Daphnia pulex: one gene and its partner. The protein of the gene in region 1 interacts with the protein of each later gene in a biochemical or structural test. Links are inferred from orthologs where the notes say so. Each region holds a gene or a part of one and is shown on either strand. Other genes may lie near its edges. The genes, in order: peripheral plasma membrane protein CASK-like and protein nervous wreck-like.

The links.
Region 2: the proteins of peripheral plasma membrane protein CASK-like (region 1) and protein nervous wreck-like form a complex in vitro, tested with the Homo sapiens proteins (2 studies listed by BioGRID and IntAct, with this or other methods). The link is inferred for Daphnia pulex from reciprocal best matches to the Homo sapiens genes CASK and FCHSD2.

The regions. Positions count from the first base shown.
Region 1 is NC_060018.1:1,078,118-1,088,796, forward strand, and holds part of peripheral plasma membrane protein CASK-like, read left to right. Parts: intron 1-5,046; coding exon 5,047-5,340; intron 5,341-5,653; coding exon 5,654-5,818; intron 5,819-7,925; coding exon 7,926-7,994; intron 7,995-8,846; coding exon 8,847-8,876; intron 8,877-9,926; coding exon 9,927-10,025; intron 10,026-10,155; coding exon 10,156-10,300; intron 10,301-10,679. UniProt on the Homo sapiens protein: Multidomain scaffolding Mg(2+)-independent protein kinase that catalyzes the phosphotransfer from ATP to proteins such as NRXN1, and plays a role in synaptic transmembrane protein anchoring and ion channel trafficking.
Region 2 is NC_060027.1:7,880-18,623, reverse strand, and holds protein nervous wreck-like, read right to left. Parts: upstream 10,621-10,744; 5' UTR 10,230-10,620; coding exon 10,194-10,229; intron 10,080-10,193; coding exon 9,982-10,079; intron 9,901-9,981; coding exon 9,855-9,900; intron 9,704-9,854; coding exon 9,618-9,703; intron 9,542-9,617; coding exon 9,397-9,541; intron 9,334-9,396; coding exon 9,197-9,333; intron 9,133-9,196; coding exon 9,069-9,132; intron 9,000-9,068; coding exon 8,871-8,999; intron 8,798-8,870; coding exon 8,675-8,797; intron 8,601-8,674; coding exon 8,496-8,600; intron 8,360-8,495; coding exon 8,216-8,359; intron 8,152-8,215; coding exon 8,074-8,151; intron 8,013-8,073; coding exon 7,961-8,012; intron 7,903-7,960; coding exon 7,820-7,902; intron 7,749-7,819; coding exon 7,643-7,748; intron 7,567-7,642; coding exon 7,334-7,566; intron 7,268-7,333; coding exon 6,557-7,267; intron 6,484-6,556; coding exon 6,348-6,483; intron 6,276-6,347; coding exon 6,186-6,275; intron 6,124-6,185; and 5 more. Other genes in the region: carnitine O-palmitoyltransferase 1, liver isoform-like, read right to left, coding at 1-8, 132-246, 789-857, 1,432-1,457, 1,527-1,634, 1,701-2,307, 2,374-2,495, 2,560-2,836 and 3 more. UniProt on the Homo sapiens protein: Adapter protein that plays a role in endocytosis via clathrin-coated pits. Contributes to the internalization of cell surface receptors, such as integrin ITGB1 and transferrin receptor.

The DNA of each region.
Region 1 (10,679 bases):
TGCCTGGTTCAACCAGTGTTGATATTTTGGTCCGCGTTGGTTATGGCAAGAGAGAGAGAGAGAAGGATTCAACCATCCAGATAGCTACCACTGGGTGTAGAGCTGTAGATCACTGCGCTCGCGGCTCTTACATCAAAGTTGTCGAGCTCCACGCCCTCTCTCTCTTGCGATCTCCATCTTTTCTCTTTATTGATCGATACGCAGCAAACCGTCTCGTGCGTTTGGACGACTAAATGAGAAATGAGAAAGCGAAATATAAATAAGTTGAGCGCGCATTCAAGAAAAGCCCATCACGAGACATTTGCCATCTTCACACTTTATCTTACGTTTGATTTTCTCATAGCGCCTTTGATGATTGCTCCCACTTACTTTCACTCGTTTCGGGATGAGATGTGAAAAGTGTTTTCATTTCTACCCATCCATCCGCCCATTTTGTTTGTTGCATCCAACCTCTCTCCAGCTCCTACGTGCTCCCGTTCTCCCTCTCTTTGATACATATAGAAAATTCGTTCTTCCTACACCCAAACCGGGGTGATTCGATTACATCACGGAGTCTACTGGCGTCGCCTTCTTATTCCTGCTCCTTACTTTTTTTTGGGGGGTAGGGGAGAGGGGGAGGGGGTTATGTTCCTTTCCTCCTTATTTAATGTGCAACTCGGCACGACCTCGACGGAGTTTTCTTTCTCATATCTTTTATAGTTATAAGGCAACAAGAGAGTCGATCCTCGTCAACATCGCTTCATCTTGTCGGTCGTTTCGGCTCCGCTCCGCTGTCATTAAGCCCAAACGTCGAGGGTGTACTTGTCCGAGGGCGTGGTTATATTTTTGAATGGCGCGCTGATATCAAGCGTTGATTGCCCCACATACAGAGTTGATTTGCGAGAATCAATGCAAAGAAAAAGGATGTTATCCGCTTGAGAGAGAATTTCAAAGAACAAATTAATGTCGCATGTAGATTGGCGGAAGTGAGTGGGTGAAGAGCCTTTTTCTTCTTTTTATTCCTTTCTTTTTGGGCTTTGTCAAGAGCAAGAGAGAGAGACGAGCGAGTTGCCTCGTTGGAAAACGAATTCCGTCCCGGATTTTGGCACAGACCCATTATTGTACACAACCTCGGCGAGTCGATAGCACTCGCCCGCTATTAGAATATGGTGCAAAATGCCCTTGTTTCTAGTTGAGTTGGACGAGATAAAAGATGTTTTAGAAAATTTCTCCTTGTTTACCCTTCGTTTGTCGCTTTCAGCAAGCTCTGGGCAATGCGCATCTCTTTCTTTTTCTTTTAGTTGCACACAGAAAGAGAGAATATGCCTAACAGCCGGGCTTTGGGAAATGAAATACACCGAAAAGGGAGAAAAATGAAAGGAGGCGTTTCAGTAGGAGAAAGAGCCGTACGTGCGTAAAATCCCTACTTCAACCTTACGCGTTATGTATGTGCGTCCTGATCCCAGTGTTTTTTTCTACATTTATTTCCGAGTTGTGACGGCGCAGCAGCTCTGTCTTTTACTGCATTAGGAAGTGAAGCTAGGAAACCGAAAGGAAAGGTCTCGGCCTATCTTCGTCACGAGAGTGAGTTGTGTTTGTCTAGGTGTGACAAGTTTTGATGTATTTATTTCGTTTTTTTTCCCTATCTTTCTTTCTTTCTCCTCTCTGCTGGGCCAGTTGCCGACTAAAATCTACGAGAGAGTAAAACATGGAAAAAGCTTCCAATCCAAACATAAATCCCTCCCCAACAACTTACCGTTTCGAAATCTTCTAGTTGAAGGAGGATTGCGTTGGCGTTGTCGTGTCAACACCAATGTATAAAAGAGAAGAAAAAAAAAGACAGGCGGGTGAAAAGGAGGCAGAGGAACTGTAATTGCCTTTGGAAAAACGTGTCGTATACACACACAGTCTAGAAGTAAAAGAAGAAGAAAACATGGTTGGATGGAAGCGCAAAGAAAAGTATGAGGCAAATCCCGTGACGCGTGCGGAATTCTGCTCGGAAAGTGGACATGCTGGGTGTGTATGTGTGTTGAGGCACTACGCCCCAAATGTTTCATATCTAGGAGGCGGCGGCGACAGTGGGTGAAGGGTGAAAAGAAAAACTGGCTGGGCTGAAGATGATTTGTTTCCTTATGCCAGCATGTTTTCCCCCCACGTCTCTTCTTTATTTTGGGAGGTTTCGACTCGTTTCCCTTTTTTCTGCCGTTTCTTTTCTCTCTTTTCATTTTTAAGGCTGTAAAATTGCTTTCTCCAGGAAAAGAAAAGCCTGTATTTTCTAATCAACTTGCCAACTTGGCTAGAAACCCAGAAGATTGCTGACGAGTAGAGAGGGGGGGGGGGTGCTATTTTGTTGATTAAACTCTCAAACGAGCGAGTCGTTTGATTCTCCTCCCCATATATATATATGTGTGTGTGTCTATATATATATCTATATTTATGTATACGTATACCTTTGAAGCTCCGACCTTCCGGCTCTTGCTTCTCTAGGACTCTCTTTTGGACGTTCCATTTCCTCCTCTATTTCCGTTTCTCCTTCCGTTTCTCCTTCCATGGCAGTCATGTGGTCGTTGACTCGTTGTCCTGCATCCAATCATCTGACCAACGCGTTTTCTCCTTTTGTCTGTGTCTTTTCAGAATTTTTGAGTTGTCTCTCTTTCTTTCTGTTGCTCCTTTTCTTCTTCTTTTCTCCGCCTTCTATAGTGGAGTAGTGGGTTCGTGTACAGCCATCATCGCCCACGATGATTGGCCCAGTTCGAAGTGGGGACCTCTCTCGGACCTCTCTACTTGTCTTTTTGTGCCTGCTGGTCCGACACTTCCCATACGTAATAACGGCGGCCTGACTCTTACATAAAAGTGAAATTGTCACGCAGGGAGTCGTGATATCTGAACCGAAATTTCTTGGATGGCGGTCACCAGGATCCCAAGTCCCTTGGCAAACCTTTGCTTCACACCCCAAACAGGATTTACGGGAAGGAATTCAAAAGATGAAAAGGAAGTCTGAGAGGAAGAAAGAAACGAGAAGTAGGAGCACTGTGGGGGGTAGCTTTTCGTCACTTGCGATTCACATTGTAACCCAAAAAGACAAAAAAGAAACATCCAAGATTACTTTTCAACGTCCCTCCAAAAAAAAAAAGGGACGGACGTGTGTCTTACATAAGAATAAATGGTCAAATAGATGTCTAGACGGATAAACACGATGGAGTCAGTAGTGAGGTATTGTGCGTCGCGATCGATACCGCCGTCCAAAAGCGCAGGACTTATTCGAGAACAAGAGTGAAAGGCAGAAAATGGAAAGTCTCCCATTCTTTTTATTTTCATCCCAACCGCCAGTCACTTTTGATGTAGACACCGATTGAAAAGCGGATGGCTAGAGTAACAACTACACTGATATTGTGTCCCCGTGCACACACCAGTGATTCCTTGTTGTTGGTAGTGCTTTTTTGAGGGTCGCTGGTGAATACTGTCCCTCCGCTTCAACCGAAGGAAGGAAAAAAAAAATAGCTGTTGCCAAGGAAATTGATATCACCGAGCTGTTTGCTTGTTTCGCCCACTTTTTGAACGTCGAAACTGAAGTGATTAAGGACATGGAATGGATTCGAGGATCGCGGTGGTTGTTTTAGTTCCTCGAGTGTAGACGAAACACGTTCGCACTCGAGCTGGAAAAACATTTGTTTCCATTTTAGTGATGTAATAATATTGATCGTTTCTGCCGGTTTTCATTCGTCCTTGGTGGAGCATTACGCCGCATGCCTCGCTTAATTCGAGCAGATTACATTCGTCATTATTCTTGGCTACATGCGGAATGGAATTGATAGATAACAGCTCGCCAAAAAGATTTTCGTTCTTTTATTTTATTTTATTTTCATTTCTCCCTTGGTTTTTGTTGATGCCCCTTCATTATGATCACTTGAGGGTTGTGACACAATGCTTTGTATTGCGGTCTATCCTATCGCAGCGTCCTCGATGGCTCCTTCGTGCGTACACAGTGCTTGGGTCGACGTCGCAAGCAGCCAGCCGTGATTCTTATTCTTCCTCGCCTTGTCGTCTTTGGTTGTTCTCCCCCTTTTTTTTCCTCCCCCGTTCTTCTTCGAGAGAAAGAGGGCGTGTTCGATCTTGATAATTGGTCGACCTCCTCTGAATTTCGTTACAATTTTGTCAGCAATGAGGATGAACGCGCAACGTTGCAAACAAATCAATAGCTCGAGGAAGTAACTCGATTCGCTGAAAAGAGCGCTCACGCTCATCCCGGTGAATAATCAAGTGTAGCGATGAAACGAAGGATCAAGCGAAAAAGTCGATCTAGTCGGTTCGATAACGACAACCGGGGCAACACTGTGGAAACGACAATTTCTAAACTAAAGGACGTCGGGAACAAGGTTGTGAGTAACCATCACCAAAGCAACACTACTAATGCTACTCTGCCCTCCGCGCCGCTGTTTCACTTTGGTTCGATTCACACGGGGAAGCCTAGATATTTCCTCGCCGAGCGCATATCGCAGACGAGACGGTCGAGTCTCGGCGGACTGTATACAACTGTTGCGACGCGAGTGAGAGGGGGGAAAAAGCGAAACCTGGTACAGCAGGCAATCTAGGTCTAGCGGGAGTAAAAGTTGGAATAGCAAAGTTGCCAATGGATGTGGGGTCGACAGACCGCTTCTTTACTCTTCTTTCTCTGCTTTTAATCAAACTCACTCTATCTTCTCAATGCCCAACTTACTGTAATCGCATTCTGACGACTCTTTGTCCGGCCAATTTGCCCATATCCTTTTTTTTTCCTCATTTATTCTTTTCTTTTTCTCCTCTGCTTTGTCACGGCGGGTAACTTGCGTCGCCCGTCGTCCGCCTCTCGTTCTCGTGTTTTATGTAAGTCTCCATTTGTAATGCATCATCCTTTGCCTTTATGAAAGTTGACAAACGAAGGGGTCGGCAATCCTCTCTTTCAAGTCTGGCTGGGGAGGAAGTTGTCCGAAAAGTCTGCGTGTCACTGTTGTTGCCAAGATGTCCTTATCGACTTTTATTTCTCTTCTTTTTTCGACTCTAATATTCTTTCTTTAATTGTAATAATAGGCTTTGCTGCAAGCTCACGATGTCATTGGTTACGAATTCTATGGGGACGATTCAGAAGGAGCCAGAGTGACACCGCCGCCTCTACTGCCACCCGTTTACCTTAGTCATTCATCCATCGCTGGGTCAACATCGATGGGCGGTTTGTACGGCACCCACGCACTGGACGGTCTAACCAGACCAGACAGCAGTTTGGGCGGTGTAACTGGAGGAGCTGCCAATGGAGATGTTCAACCTTTAGAGCACGTCACTCGCGTCCGTTTGGTCCAGTTCCAGAAGAATACCGACGAGCCGATGGTACGTACAGTCAGGCACACCATAAGAAACTGCAGCAAACACGACGAATTACTGTATAGCTCTCTGTAAAGTATAGTATAGTGTGTGTGTGTAGCCTGCCACATATATTTATTTTAACATTTGCCGTCGATCGATAACTGCGGACGCCCGCCTTCTTGTTGTGCACGGCGGTCATCACTTGGCCTCCTACATCGTTGTTAACATTGACGCCGATCGATGGATGGACGAGAGAGAGAGAGAGAGAGTGTCTTTTTTTTTTTTTATCTTGTATCCCAAGCACCATATTGAAGTGGTATTGGTATTCTTCCTCTAGGGCATTACGCTGAAGGTTACGGAAGATGGACGCTGCATTGTGGCACGCATCATGCACGGAGGCATGATTCACCGGCAGGCGACTCTTCACGTTGGCGACGAGATTCGTGAGATAAACAGCATGCCTGTAGCCAACAAGAGCGTCGACGCTCTTCAGAAAATACTGGTATTTCATCGCTTTTTTCAATATACTTCACCATTTTTCTTTTTTCTTATTGTGGAATGCGATAAACGGGGGTCTAGACGGCTGGGAAAGGGAAGTGAGGCAATAGTAGTGTATTTTTATTTGATTTTGTTTTCAAAGAAAAGTTTAGAGCTCTGAATGGCTAGTCGATGAACGTTCCTTCCGTTCTCGCTCCGGTTAATCTTTGAAAGACTCCTTCAGGGAGGGATGTGGTGGTGGAAGGGGGGGGGAGGGAAGAGCCCACTGGGAATCGAGAGACGAAGACGGACAATCGCTAATCAGCTTGAGCCGGGAATCGGATGAGTAATTATATGTTGCAGCATTTACTCAATACTGCCGCATCTCTATTCTCTGTTTATATGTATATGTGCGTCTGTAGTGGGATTTTAATCTGCGGGTTGGGATTAGACAAGCTGTGCTGTGCCGACAGACAAGTACGGATGCCTTTCGACATAGCAGAGTGGTCATTTTTTTCCTTCTTCCAGCGGGTGTAGGCGAGTGGTTTCTCTCTTTTTGGTTTTTAGACAGAAAAGTTGGTCCAGTTGCAGCTGATAGTTGTAATTGCTTTCTCGCCTGGAATACTAAGGCCGTTATAATAGCACGCGTCGAGAGTAGTCGCAGTGGCGAACGATACCACGGCCGTAATCATAACAGTGTAATACTATTAGTAGTTTGTTGTTGGGCGTCAGCTGTGCATCCACATTTCTGGTCGATGCTTACAGATACGGTGACGTCACGTACGGCCGTCTATCCCGTTTCCAAAAAGTCGCAAGCGGGTCGTGCAGTATAGCGGGCGCTAAGTAACGAGTCGAGTCTTTCACGATCACTTCGGCGAATGCCGTGAACGGGCCTCCTCCTACACGCGGCCCGAAAATCCACTCCGGAGGGAGTATTCAGAAAAAAGGGGTTTGGTCGGGGGAGGGTGAGGGGGCACTTGTGTGGTGGAGTGGTCGGTTGCGTAAATCTATACGGCGGAGACTACCGGTTGAGGATGGAGAAATAGATGAGGCTCTAAATGAGTTAGATACAATTTGATGGAAAAGGAAATGCAGTTAAAGGCAATACGTAGCAGTTGGAGGTGAAGAATGGAATCCGTTTAGTTTCGAGGAAGTGTCAGCTGTCGGGGGAGAGATTGGGGTCGACGGAGAGCGCACGCGTTAAGTGTCTTTTCAGCCGAGCCAGGCAAAGATGAGGTTTCGCCGAAAAGGTTAGGTTAGAAGAGCCTTCAAGATCAATGCGCTCCTGTCGACTCGCAAATCAAAAATACTCGGCCCACCCAAAGATAAGATTGCTTTACCTCGAGAGGAGGCACAACAATGGTGCCTGATGTCGATGGTGAGGGCGTCCTCCATTCCTATTTCATCCAACAATGAAGGAAGTAACAAAACAAAAAAGAGAAAAAAGAAATATGGGCGTTAGCTTCCGCCTTGCTTTTGTTTTCTCTGCGCGCGTTGTCACGGCTTTATTTTATTTTGAAATTGTTTCTATTCCCGCGGGTTTAGTAGACGACGTCGTCCGTTGGTTAGCAGGGAAAAACAAATGAAAATGTAATGGCAGAGAATTGCGGAGTAAAGAGTTTTCGAGGCGTGCAAGAGTTTTCCATCAGCATCCCTTCCACCTACCTGATACCGACTATATACCTGCCCATCCACCCCTGCCCACCGTCGAGTTAGTTATACAGCATGGCTGCGTGAGGCAACTTCACTTTGTTCAGCTTTTGTGTTTCGTCGGAAAGCGGAAAACGATGTGGGTGGATCTATTTCGATGAGCAAATGAGAACGACGAAGTTAACGCCCAGCCTACCATGCGGGAGGAAATTTTGGAATATTGCGGTGACGCCGAATGAAGAACGAACGCCGGGGAGGAAAAAGGAATAGCTATGGGATAAGAAGAAGAAGAAGAAGAAAAAAAAAGTATATGTAAACCTTAACAGTGGGGATTGGTCGGAAGAGTGGAAGGGAAAAAAGGGACGAAGAAACCGGAGCGAGTCGGATGGAGGAGCAAAATAGAAGGGAGAGGAGAGAGAAAGAGAGAGAGTATTGATTTCAGGATTCCCTTCTCTCTCTCTCATGTTGCGTGTTTCCTGCAGCGAGAAGCCCGCGGATCGGTCACCTTCAAGATTGTGCCGTCGTACCGGAGCGCCCCGCCGCCTTGTGAGGTACGACAACATCCATCTCGATTCATCCATACTTACGCTCGTCCTTCTGATCTCTATCCTTTCCTCAAACACGTTCACTCCTTATCCTCCGATTCTCCTCATGTCGACGCAACGACGACTGACTGACAGATATACATTTTCCTCTCCTCTTTTCACAACTCTTTTCCTATTGCAGTCCAGTTTTCACCCTTAAAAAAAAAATTCTTTCACAATCTTCCTTCCTTTTGACCACTCTTTAAGATGAGACAGTCGATGAGAGTAGGTAGAGTCTCTCTATGGAACTCTCTCTCTTTTGTGATTCGCCCTTTCTTTCTCCAAAGCCATTTTCCAAAGCCAAGAGAGAGTGAAACGGAGAATGAAACTATTTCATGTGATATTTGAGTATGTTATTGTGGTACCATAGTGCCTTTTAGTTTGGAAAGGGAAAGAGAAAAAGACAAAACAAATTTATGCCGCTCCTGGTTCATATTTCTTGTGATATCCAATTTGTGCATGGGCAACTTTCGATTGTCTTGAAAATGGACCAGAGTCGAACTTTTTAAAAAAGAAATGCCCACGTGGAATCGTCAAATATGATGAAATTTTCCTATTCACTTTTATTCCCGTCGATCCAACGGAAATAAAAGATAAAGTAAGAAAATTTAAGCGGAGAAATGACACTAGAAACACTTTGGTTCTATTGCCTATCTGTCTAGATTGGAAAAAGAATATTTTATTTACAGTATCAGTGAACGGCAATATATATATTGATGTTTCATTTTTTGGCCGGTCTCTTTTCTGTGTGTCCCTTTTGGTCTTTTCTTTCTCTCTATCTTTCGCATTTCGTTCCATTTCCCGCTTCCCAAACAACAGTTATTCAGGATTAATCCACAGCCGGTTCTTGTAAGTACTGTCTCATGATAATCGATCAGTCTTCTGTTTTTTCCTTTTTTTAACAAGTCAAGTTCTACGGGGTTGCTATTATTTTTCATTATCATTATTATTTGTTTTTTTACTTGTAATTATTTTTATTTTATTTTTTTCGACCGGGAGAGTAAATAGTTAAGGCCTTTTATTTCTTTTTTCCGTGTTGCCCATCACTTTTATTTTTAAACTTAAAAAAAAAATCCCTTCTCTTCATTTTCTTTTTGCCAAATTGCCTCCGCTCTGGAGTTGAAAGTTATTGGGTTGATTCGTTTCTTATTTATACTATTGTCACTACTCCCCTACTATATAAACAGTGTTTATTAAACACATACACACTCTCTCTTGTCATTTCCACTACTTTGCACACAAGGAAAGAATAAGAGTCATTACTTCAGAGCCGACTTTCCACTTCCTTCTCCCTTTCCTTTAATTGATGCACGATCTGTTTTGGTACTCAAATACAAAAAAAAAAAAAAAAATACAAAAAACGAAAAAGAAGGGGGATCTGGTGGGAAAAGGAATCTGGCGAAGATGTAGTCAATGGACTAAACCACTTGATTTGGTTCTCGCGCATCCTTCTTTTTCTCCTCCGACTTTTTCCCCCTTTTTTCCCACCTTTTCTGTTTGATGTAGCAATTTGATTGATGCATGCCATTATTGACGTCTCTCCGCCTCTTATTTGTTGTTTTGCTTTTTCCCCTTCAAAGTAAAATATATATCTACTATGCATATATTTTCTTTCTTTTTTATATACATTCCTCTTGTTTTTTGTTTTAGAATTTTTTACTGGTCCAATCTCCTTTTTTAAAAAATTTCAAATTTTCATTCATTTTTTTCTCCCCGACGCTGCATATCTACTTCTTAAAAAAAGGCCATTTCTAAGTTTCTTTTTATCCTTTTCTACTGTTAGCTTTGGAATGTTCAATAAACTAGCCGGTGTGACGGTTTTTCATCATTCTTTTGTAATGCGGGTCTCGTTCTTTCTTTATTTGTTCCGCAACGGCTCGATTTCCGAAAACATCGCAGATCTACGTCCGAGCCCAATTCGATTACGACCCGCTGGGAGACGACACTATCCCCTGTGCTCAAGCTGGCATTGCTTTCAAGACGGGTGACATCCTGCAGGTTTGTACAATATCAATTTTTGAGTGACACAAGAGACATGAGCAATTGCATTTCCTTTGTATTCATTATCTCACCCGACTGCGGCATTCGATATTCATGACTCGACTTGTTCTCTTCTTAAACAATGCAGATTATTAGCAAGGACGACAACCGATGGTGGCAAGCCAGGAAGGACGGTGCCGGAGAGTTGGCACCCGCTGGATTGGTCCCTTCTCCCGAGTTGCAAGAGTGGCGAATCGCCTGTTCGACAGTGGAAAAGAGCAAACGAGAACAAGGTAAAAACCCGCAAACAATTATTCATTTGACTAGGATTTTTCCTTTCGAATAATAACGAAGCGAGTGAACAGCAGGATGAAACTTAACTCTAGTTGTCAGACTTGTTGCCCACGCTTCCAGACAAGAAACTTTTCCATCTTAAAAAATGCACCAGCTCGGACTTGTATTGCTCTCCAACTTTCGTTGTGTAAGTCTATTAAGGCTCAGCGGAGGTTCTTTTTTTACAACGAATCAATGACGCAGTCGTACGCGTCCAGCTTCCGGAAGCAAAGTCTTACTAGTGGCTCTCACACAGCAAACACAATTTCCTGAGCTGGCCCCCTCTTTTGTTTTATTGGCTTTTACCTCCTCGCTCTCCCACTCGCTCTCTCTCTCTCT
Region 2 (10,744 bases), on another chromosome or scaffold:
AAGGCCACCTGGGAGAGGAAATTCGGTTTCAAGTGAAGGCCAAGACAACAATGGACATGCGGGGGGAAGAAACCGCAAGTGCCACCAACAGAAATTAATTTAAAAAAAAAAAAAAGTCCAGGTGTGTTTACCTGATAACTCGTTTCAATCTTCTCGATACAGGCCTCGGGCATTTCCCATTTGAGACGGATGGGCGTAGGCGGAGTGCATTCCGGGACGCCCTTGCAGTGGCCATCCTCCTTGTATCTATTTCCAGCCAAAAGAATTCCAATTAATAAACGAAATTTTTCAATTTCGAAATTCAAATTAAAAAGCGAAAATTATTGATGTGCGTGAAACTGAGCGCATGCGCTAAAGCAAAATAAAAATCTAAAAATTTCTACATGCAAAAATGCGACGTGCAAGACATTCTTTAAGGTGACATGCAAAAGAAAAGAAATAAAAGAGAGGAAACGTCGAGAAAAAATATGCTAAACCTTTAAACAATTTTTCAATTCTAAAAAAGAGAAAATCTAAAAATGGCTACCGGTTTCCAGCTTGGACCCGTTTGTCATGTAACTCCCAAATCACAAAAATCAAAGAAATGGCGTATTATACTTTCGGGTCATTCGTTTTTTGTTTTTTGGACGACACATTTCTCTCAAATGCAAACAAATCAAAAATTGTTTCTTTTTTGGGGGTGGTGGTGCGAGGTGTGTCATTCACTTTAGAAATTAAATTTTTCGTGTCATTCATTCTTTTTGCTCATTCTCGTCCGAGAAAAAGAGAGAGAGAGAATGGACCCTTACCCAGTTTGCGCCGTTTCAGCGGAGAATAAGCAATACTCCCATAGGTGGCCCATGACGGGCGCGTCCGCCCTGAAATCGCGACGGACGAGAGAGGCAACGGACAGACACAAAAACGCACACACACAAAAAGTGGCCACAGACGGACAAAAAGGGAACACCGATAGTGGCGAAATTAATGAAAAATTTCAATTAAGACAAACACAAAAAAACTAATTGTACCCGGCACCTTTTTTTGCTTGTGGTTTTTTTTTCTTTTAAATTAAAAATAAAAATCGGAGAGAAAAAGAATTAGCGGAAAAAAGGGTATCACAAAGTGCACAGCAAAAATAATTAATATAATAGAAAAAAAGGTGTGCAGAATATAAGAGATAGACACGTCCTAAAAAAGACTTGGTTTTTTTTAATGGTGGAGGGAATGAAACTTTACCGAGGGACCAGTACATCTTCCGCGATCACGAATTCCCACATGTGGGCTAAAACTGCAGCGTCGGCCCTGGTTTGGCAGGGGGTGATTTCATAACATTTTTTTGTTTGATCAAATTATGATTAAAATATGAAATTTTCATTCCCCCCAATTCCCAGAACCACCCCAATATTTGATGCAAGAAATAGACAACCAGTGAATTGAATTTGGATTACTTACCAAGAGTGTTCCGCATTAAATCCAACCTAAAAAACAAACAAATTCAATTTGTAATTAAAACGAAAAATGATTTTCCAAAATGACGAGAAACTCACGCGTCCATTTTTCCCTATGACCAGCGTGAATGACTTGTCAAACCAACGGTCGTAACCCTTGCCGTGGAGCAACGTCGCACCGAATTTGTCCAGTTGGGTGTGATCATCCTGATGCATTAAAATTAAAAAAATTAGACAAAAATATAGAGAAAGTAAAAGAAAAGATTGGCAAACCGGATCAAAGTTGAAATCGTCGTCGTCAAACGACACCATAAAGGCAGCGCCTTCGACGACGGACAAGGAAACTTTGTTCAATCCTTTGGAGAAAAATTCCTGTCGGCACTTGGCCCATGGGATGCGGTCACCGGCAGTCAAGGCCGCCAATTTCTCCTCGCCCGGCTGGATAGCAGACACGTCATCGAGGACCTTCTGCAGCGAAATTTCCAGCTCGCAAGGACGGAGCAAACGGCCCTTGTAGTACAGGGGGACTTTAAAATATTTGCCATGGCAATAGACGGCGATGTGAGTCGAATCGTCCAAGTGGATGATGCGATCCGTTTCGATCCCGGGAGCTCGGGTCGTGTTGAAGACGCGCTCGTACTGAAATGAGCACAGTGGCACCGTTCCCTGGACCATGATGGGTTCCAGCTCTGAGCGTTCGATAGCTCGACGGAAGAGCAAAGCTTCGTAAATGATGTTGGCTGCACGGGCCGCCGGATTTCTGGTCGGATGCTTGAAAAGAGTGTCTATTCCGTAAAAATTAGAGTTGACCATGATGGGAGAACGGCCACGCAAGTAAACGTATTCCTCCCACCAATCGGAAACGTAATTGGTTGACCACCTAAAATCATTCGCATTTGGTTTGATTAAAATATTTTTCAAATTAAGGAACAAACAAATGTTTTACATTCGCTTCAAGTAGAGATAGCGCTGCAGCTTTTGTCCAATACCACGAACAAATTCCAGTGACAACTTTTCCATGCGGGAGTACTGGGCGTCATCCAGCAGCGGCCGGACACTTCTCAAATACTAAATAAGATACAAATAGTCAAGCACTCATCGATATTTGTCAAATTGACAAGTTGATACAAACCTTTTCACGAGTGGAAGACAATGACGGAACGGGAAGAGTGGGTAACATGCCTTGAAACGAGTAGAGCTGCGGTTGGAAGAGGCGGAAGAATGGTTGCATGGCCAAAAACCAGGCTCGAGTAGGTAAACTGACTTGTCTACCGGCACCTCTTTCCTCGTACATCCATCCATGATACTTGAGCAACAAACCCATCAATTGTCTCAGCGAAAAAATGACTCCAGCCCAGCCGGCAAGACCTAGAATGGCTGAACACAGCACCCGATATTCGACAGAATTCCTATTTTTCAATAGAGAAATTAGTACTATTTTAATTAAAAAGTAAATCCATTGGTTAAATACTTGGGGAAGTGGACAATTAGCTTATCAGTTAGTCCACATGTCAAATCATATCCTGACTTTTCTGCACCAATAAAAACAGCCTCAGTCATAACCAGGGAGCGAAGAGAACCTGGGAAAAAGTTGGACTTGAGGTTTGTCTGTAAGGTTTAAAATTGAAAGATTAGTCGGGCACAATTGCTAGGCATTCAGAACATTTCTGAACCTGAAAACGAAGTCCCCTCTTCCTCCATGAGCGAACAGCACTTCTGGCAATAAGCCTAATGACCTGAAGTAGAAAAACCATTTTGACCGTCACAAAACAAAGCATTGCAATTGCATAGATTTTACCTCAAAGTCAAAGTTGACGTCCAAACCTTCATGGGTGATGGCAAACGAGAAGGCAACAGCTTGATGTCCCTCCGCCATCTTTCAGTGAATCTGTTGAAACCAGCAAATGAAACAAGCAATGATTACCAAGTCTGCGATTCAAATCATCCAATGAACTGCATAATCCAAGCACTAGACAAAACGCATAATACCGTGTAACGCGACCAAAGGGTATGAATAAAACCATAAAACGAACGGGAGAAAGTAGAAGAGAAACGTATGTTTACAACTTACTATCGACGTGCTGAAGGCTGTTGAACTTGGCTAATAATAAAACTGAAACAAACCAACTCGTTTCTACTACGGAGATTCAACGAAAGAAGCGATTTACACATGATTAAGCCAAGGCTGGTTTAAATTACCTGATTGAAACGTATGTAGCTCGTTGAGAGTTTAAAAATTACGGCAAATGTGGGGCAGCAGGTAAAACAACTTTGGGTTGTTGTAGCTATCTGGTGCAGGCAGACGATTCGCCGTCTGTGAGGCGAATGAATATTGGGACTCTCTTAAGGCAATGTAACGGGGCTTATGGGGGCTCGTCTTGAACGCAGAAAGCAGGTTGGTTGCCGAAATTAGGTGAAGTCACAGCACTCGGCGTTCGTGTGTTGTATAATAAAAGGTTTTTTTTCTTTCCCGGGTTGAACGTCCGGGAGAATTTCCTCTTCTCGTGGTGAATCAAGGTTGCCAAATCATCAATGGCTATTCAAACATAACACTCAGCTTTTTTTATTCCTTTTGTTAAATAATCAATCCATTCAATTGTTATTTTATGTCCTCAAAATATTTACTATCTGTAATTTTACACGTGACACAATTATTGACAGACTGATAACGGTACGGGTTTTTTTTTATTTACCATCCCAGCATTCTTTAGGAAAATCCCTGAGTTGTGGCGAATGTTTTTCCGGAAAAGAGAAATTGTTTCTATTTTGCATTCTTTTATTTGATCTTTTCAAGGTCTCACATCATATTTTCTTTCATTTTGTGCATAATTGCCTGTTGTTTTTGGCAAAAGCCTCAGGGAAGCTTAAATATAATCCCGTCGTTTCTGGCTTTGAGAATGAAACAAAATATAATCAAAGTTACTTTTGCGCGTGTCCTTCAGGACTTGTGATGACACCAGAAAGGAAATGCGACGTTTAACTAGTTATTTGCAGCCAACTCATTGTCGAGGTCATGGAGTACGACTAGCTGGAAATTTCGCCGATCCTTTAGTAGTTTAATCGAGCGCTAGAGGACTCCCATCCATGCGTGACTGTCGTGATTGTGTAGACTAAAGTTTGTTATCTTTTTTAACTATATATGTTTACTACGGTTTACTAAATGGCTAATCAAACTTAAAATCATTAAAAAATAAATGTTGCGGTGAACAGTGTTATTCCTAACTTTATCTTAATTAATGAACCTAGTTTACAAACGCGCTTCTCTCGCCTCGGGTGGCGTGATGCACCTGAATTTTTCACGCAAAAATCAAATGGATTAGACAAAGTGGGGGGGTGAGACTGTGTGTATTGGGGAATGACCAAGGTAATAAGGAGCTCAGAATTAAGAACAGTAATCTCAAATGTCAAACGACGATATAGCAGCGGATCTTACACACACACACGCAAATGAAATATTGTCACAAAATGAAAAGGAGGAGAGTATTTACGATTACTTTTTAAAAATCTCATTATTATCTGGTTTACAATTTTCCCACAGACACTACAAGTGTTAAGTTATTTTGAAATAAAAACTTGACTTGTTGTAAATCTAAAATATGACAAATGTTTGGAGAATATGGAAATGGACTAGTGAAAATAAATATAATTAATTGGAAATAAGTTACGGTTGGACTAGTTGACTCCTCTTATCTTACAAATGAGTTGACATCAGCATTGAAACACCTGGATAATAAGCAAATAGAAATCTTGTTTTGTTTTTTTTCTTTTTTCGAATTTGTTATTTGTAAAAGGGTTGGAGAATTGCCTATGTAATCGAACAGGAATTTCGCAATCGTTTTTCTTTATCGAACCAATCAAGGGATGACACCTATCAATTTTTTTTTAAACGACATGGAATCGACTGCTGGGACTAATAGAATGAGATCATCATCCAGACTAAGGGCAAATGTTTGACAAATGCCTTGAACATGTAAAAGATATTTTGACAAGCTTCTATGAAAATGAATCAAAGGAGTTGGTTTGTATATAATAATGTCCCGTTGTGCACCTGAAGAAAAAAAAACTTACTATTTTACGTTACAATGGGAACAACCCGCAAATGAAAGCCTCTCTGTGATGTTAATTATTTGCTGGACCTGAATTGGAGTGGAGAATGGAATGGTGAGTGTGTGTGTTTTTCAAAAAGGTTATTGGGGAGGAATGTAAAAAACAATTATTGCTCAATGAGCAGCAGTTGAAATGCATGAGGGCCCATACAGATAATGTGGGTTCTTCTCTAGGCGTAAGATTCCTTGGCAGTTTCCAGTTGGACAAACTCGTCGTCGAATCCTTTTCTGACCACAGTCTCGTCAGCGATTGGTGCTGGCGGCGGCAACGGTTGGTCTAGTGATGATGACGACGTTTCGGTTGTTGATGGCTCCGGTGCTGGTGGCGGAGGCGGTTCCATCTCTTCGCCGAATTCTTGTTCCATTTCGTTTTCCTTGTCGTCGGACGTCTTTTCATCTGTCGGGTTGAAACATTTGAATTCGTTTTCAACCATGGGGGTCGATGCCGTCACGATGATCTGAGTGCCAGACAGTCCGTCAGTTATCTAAAATTAAAAAAAAAAATTATTGATTTAGAATGAAATGGACTTTCAACGTTCTACCAAATGTTACCTGGCCGTTGTTGTTTCCCTCCTCTTCAGTGGGCGTGGCTAAAAAGTAAATGACAAAGAATTGATTAGGGGGAAAATTCGAATCGAATTAAAAGATTTACCTGGCTCGACGTTGATCATTTCTGAAGCAAGATCATCTTCGTCTTCATCCATTTCCTTAATGGTGGCGTTCTGGTCGAACATGTGCTCTACTTGATCATTCAAAAAAAAAATTCAATTAAGATCAGATCAACTACATGAAAATGAGGGACTATTTGTTGTACCATGATCATCAGGGAATTCCGTCTCGGGAGTAGGTTGCGTGATTATGACCCGTTCAGGAGGCAGGAGGAAAGTAGGAACAACTGGAGGGCTGCCCGGCGGAGGCACTGATTCCTCTTCAGGTGTTGCAGGCGACACCTGTGAGTCCAATCCATTACGTTAATAAATATTCTGCCATACTTGTTATCATCGAAATAATCAAATGTTTTACTTTTGGCGTCAATTCTTCGCCGTTGGGACCGCATTCTTCGACAACCAAAGAAGGGAAGACGCCTCGAGTACCGTCCGTTAGGAGCTGACCCTCCCACCATCCATCGTCGACGTCCTGATCGTGTAGAGCACCGGATCGACGGAAAATGGCGATGACTTCACCTTCGTAAAAGGTCAACTCCTCATCAGACGTGGCGTCGTAGTCGTACATGGCCCGGCAGTAGCCGATGATTCGGTTTGTTTGGCCATCAGCGGCAGGAACTGGAGATGATTCCACGACTGGGGCAGCAATGGGTGGAGGAGGTGGAGGTAAAGGAGCGCTTTCGGTCGGCCCAGGGAACTCATCTTCTTCTTCGGCGCTCATTCCTTGCTGCTGGTACGTGTAGTCGACTGAAGAAAAGGAAATTTGGTTCTCCAACGGGTAACCTCCTTCCGCTTCTGCACTAACGATTTCTTCTTCCTCTTCCTCGTGCCCTTCTTCCGGCTCGACTTCCTCCGCAATAGCTGGATGTTGATGGACGTTCTGGTTGGCGTCCTCGTCACCTCCACACGGCACCTGATCGTCGGCGTGCAGGTCCAGGTAATTTTCAGGCACGTAGCCTTCCTCTCCCTTGTAATTCCGGGCTTTGACCCATCCGTCGCCTTCGGAAAAGGCCAGCAACACTTCCAGCTCTTCGTTTTCCATCATGGAAAGCTCGTCCGCATTTTGTGCCTATTTCCCAAACGGAGGAATAAATTGAAAGATCAAAAAGGAACTATAAAAATGATATCAACGTACCGTGTAGGGATAGAACGCGATGCATTTGATGACGCTGGCATCTCCACTGGCATGCACCGAATCCGTGACGCTGCTGGCAGTTTCAATTTGTACAGACGTGGTGGTCGTGTTGGCGGCGGAAGTGTTGAGCTGAGCGGCGTCGTCTCCCCAGGCGTCGGTTGTATCCCAGGCGGCCGTCGGATCTTGCCACGTTGCCTGCATTTCAGCAATTTGCTGCTGTACCACTTGCTCGACTATTTTGAAAATCAAATGCAACTCATTAGTCATTCCAGACTGATCTGACTGGCATATGCATAATAGATTTTTTACCGAAAGCTTCGTCAGCAGCTTCTTCCTCTTCTTCATCCTGCTGAGTTGTTTCAGCACCAGCGCGAGAGCCGCTGTCGGAGAATTCAGATTCCTCGTGAGCCGATTCCTTCATTTCAATATTGAAAATAAACTTTTGATTTGAATGATTCATGAAGGTGTTTCTAAGGCAAAACATACTCGGAAAGAAAGCTGGCTAGAAGATCTCATCAATCCAAGAGTCACCAGACCCTCTGCGTCTTGAAGGAATTCATCTACTTTGACTGCACATGAATCAAATGTTAGTCAGAAATTTGGGAGGTGTGAATTTAAACAATTTACCTCCACCAGCATGAAGGCACTCCAATCGAGCCTCAGCTTTTATTTTGGCAGTCTAAGAAATGTAAACATGTCGAGATGGCTGCACAAAAGCAATATTACTACAAGTCCAATACCTCTGAGCGCCTCAATTGGTTTTTTATTTCATCGATTTTGGCGTCAATATCAGGTCCGTTGGGTTCATTCGGATCACTCTGCAGAACAAAGAAAACAATAGTAACTATACATTCAAACAAAAAGTTTGGGAAAAATAGAAACCTTCAAGCCACTCTCTTTCATGCCCTGTAGAGTTTGCAGTGTCCTCGTCGATTCTCTGATCTTTTTGGATTCTTGGGCGACACGAGATGCATATTGTTTTCCACTCTGAATCAATCCGGCACCAGCTCCGTGAGCTTGATCCACCTGTTTTTAATCAACGAAAAATTTCGAACGAAAAGTTGGTGATTATTCGACTCGTGTGTTTTGTTGACACAGACGCCATCTTTGATTTGAAAAAGCAATTATCGATTTTATTCGTTAGATGGCGAGGCAAACTGACCGTCGTGATGACGTCATTGTCACAAGGCTCAAAGTCGTAAGTGATATGCTGATTGAGAATTGGGAAGGCGTCGACGAAACAGGCCAGGTCGTAGTCGCGATTGATCTATAAAATAAATGGACAGAAAGGAAATAAGATTTCGCTAATTAGATTGGGTTGGTAAAGTAATAACAACGTACGGTTTGGGCTTGCTCTTTAATTTTGCCGAAAGAGAATTGAGAGGCGGAGCAAGTATAAAGTTCCGTCCGACTCATAATGGAAAAGTATTCGGCCACTTTTTCGTACATTCCGCCGTCTAACGTCTGCAAATTGGATTAATCAGACGAAAAATGTCAGTACGCCGTTGATCAAAAGATTGTTTATTAAAGATGGTACCTTGACGACGTTTTGCAAATCAACGTGAAAGTATCGATTCTGATGGGCGTTGGCTGAAGCAAGTTGAAGCAGGTAGGCGTTTCTGGCTTGAGTCGATTTCTCCTCACACAAATCCCTTCGACTCCCCAACTGGCCAATGCAAATATAAAATTGAATTGATCAGGATTTTTAAAAATGAACCAAACATTTGACACCTACTTTGGCCGATGTCTTCTGTAAAGAGGAAACCGACTGGAAGATGCTACCCTTTTTCTTCTTTAGCCTAAAAATAAAAACAATTTGAATTAAAATAATGGATTGAATTGCAGTTCAAATGGTCAGCATACTTTTCCTCAGCTTCACGGGCCTTGTCACGAGCGTCGTGACTGACATGTTCGTCGTCGACGTAAACTTTTTTCAATTTGTCCAATTCAGTCACGCAAGTTTGCACTTCACCTTGCACCACTTTCAATAGGTCCAGATTCTGGGGATTCATTCGTAAAAGTAAAATCTCAGGTGTCTATAATCGAAAATTAGGGGTTTTTACCTTTTTAGCCAGTTGGAGTTTGTTTTGACGGACGATTTTCACGTCGTCTGCGATTTGCGTTTGGAATATTTCGACAGCGGCCAATTTGGCCTTTGCCAATTTATCCGTTTCCTCCAGCAAAGATCTCCATATTGACCAAACCGTCCTGTAGTCAATCAAATACAATCGATTAACAATTTTTGTTTATACATCAATAGAAATATCCCAGGGTGAGTTAATACCATTGCTGGTTGATTTCGTCGTGATTCAGTTCGTGAATGGGCGGCATTTTCTTGTTGAGGTAATTGGCCGATATCTTCTGCATGGCCTGCGGGCATGTCATCAAAGAGTCAAAAAAAGAAGGGGAGAATGTATATAACATCCGTCAATCAATAGCTCGATGTATAATGTATCTATGCTACACGGCCAGTATATTATGTGTAGGGATCGATATTTCCTGTGTGTGTCTATAGGCCTACCTCGCCGTAGGATTTCTCGACGGCGCATCTTTGCTTGATGAAATTTCTAGTCATTTTCACAAGAAAAAGAAAACACACAATTAAACAGATGCACTTTATCGAATGACTTTTAAGTGTACGAACATACCGCAAGTCTTCTAGGAGTTCGCATTCCTGTTGGTGTTTCCATTGTACCTTGGACAACTGCTCCGCATGCAAATTTCTCAATACCTTTGCATAATTGCCCTGCGTATAAAAGGAGAAATTTCCCAGAAGGGGAGGCGCACAGGAAGAGAAGAATTTTTACATCACAATAGGCAGAGGAGAGAGAGAGAAGATCGATTGAAATATTATAAAAACCTTTCGCGGTGGCGGTTGTTGCTGCGTCGTCGACATTCTACACTCGTTTTGAAACACTTGAAACTCTTGGCTTGAATTAAAGTGACATCAATGTTCAGGTAAAAAATGGATTGAATTCACTTTCAACCGGAAATATGGTTTCACCCGTAAGTTCTGTCTGTCCCAGTCGGCCACTCGCCGCCAATTAATTTTTACTTTTTTCGTCGTGCGGGTGCGTTGCTTTTTTTTTTTCGCACTGACCGGGGCCCGTACACTTTTACACTCACGACATGCGAGGAAACATCGGCCGGGAGAGGGAGGCGGGGGAGAGGAAGAAGAAATCGGAAATCGATTCGGCAGTGCGCGCGCGCGCGCTTCGGCATTAAATCGCGTGAACGCCATCTGGTTGGCAAACACACAACTGCGACGATTATTCTGGATGGAAGACTCCGATGGATCCGATCCGGCTAAAAATCCGCTGAAAATAAAAAACACGAAGATTATGAGGTTCAAATTCTTCTCGAAAAATGTGTAATAACAAATAATTGCATAACAACAATACGCAAGGAATT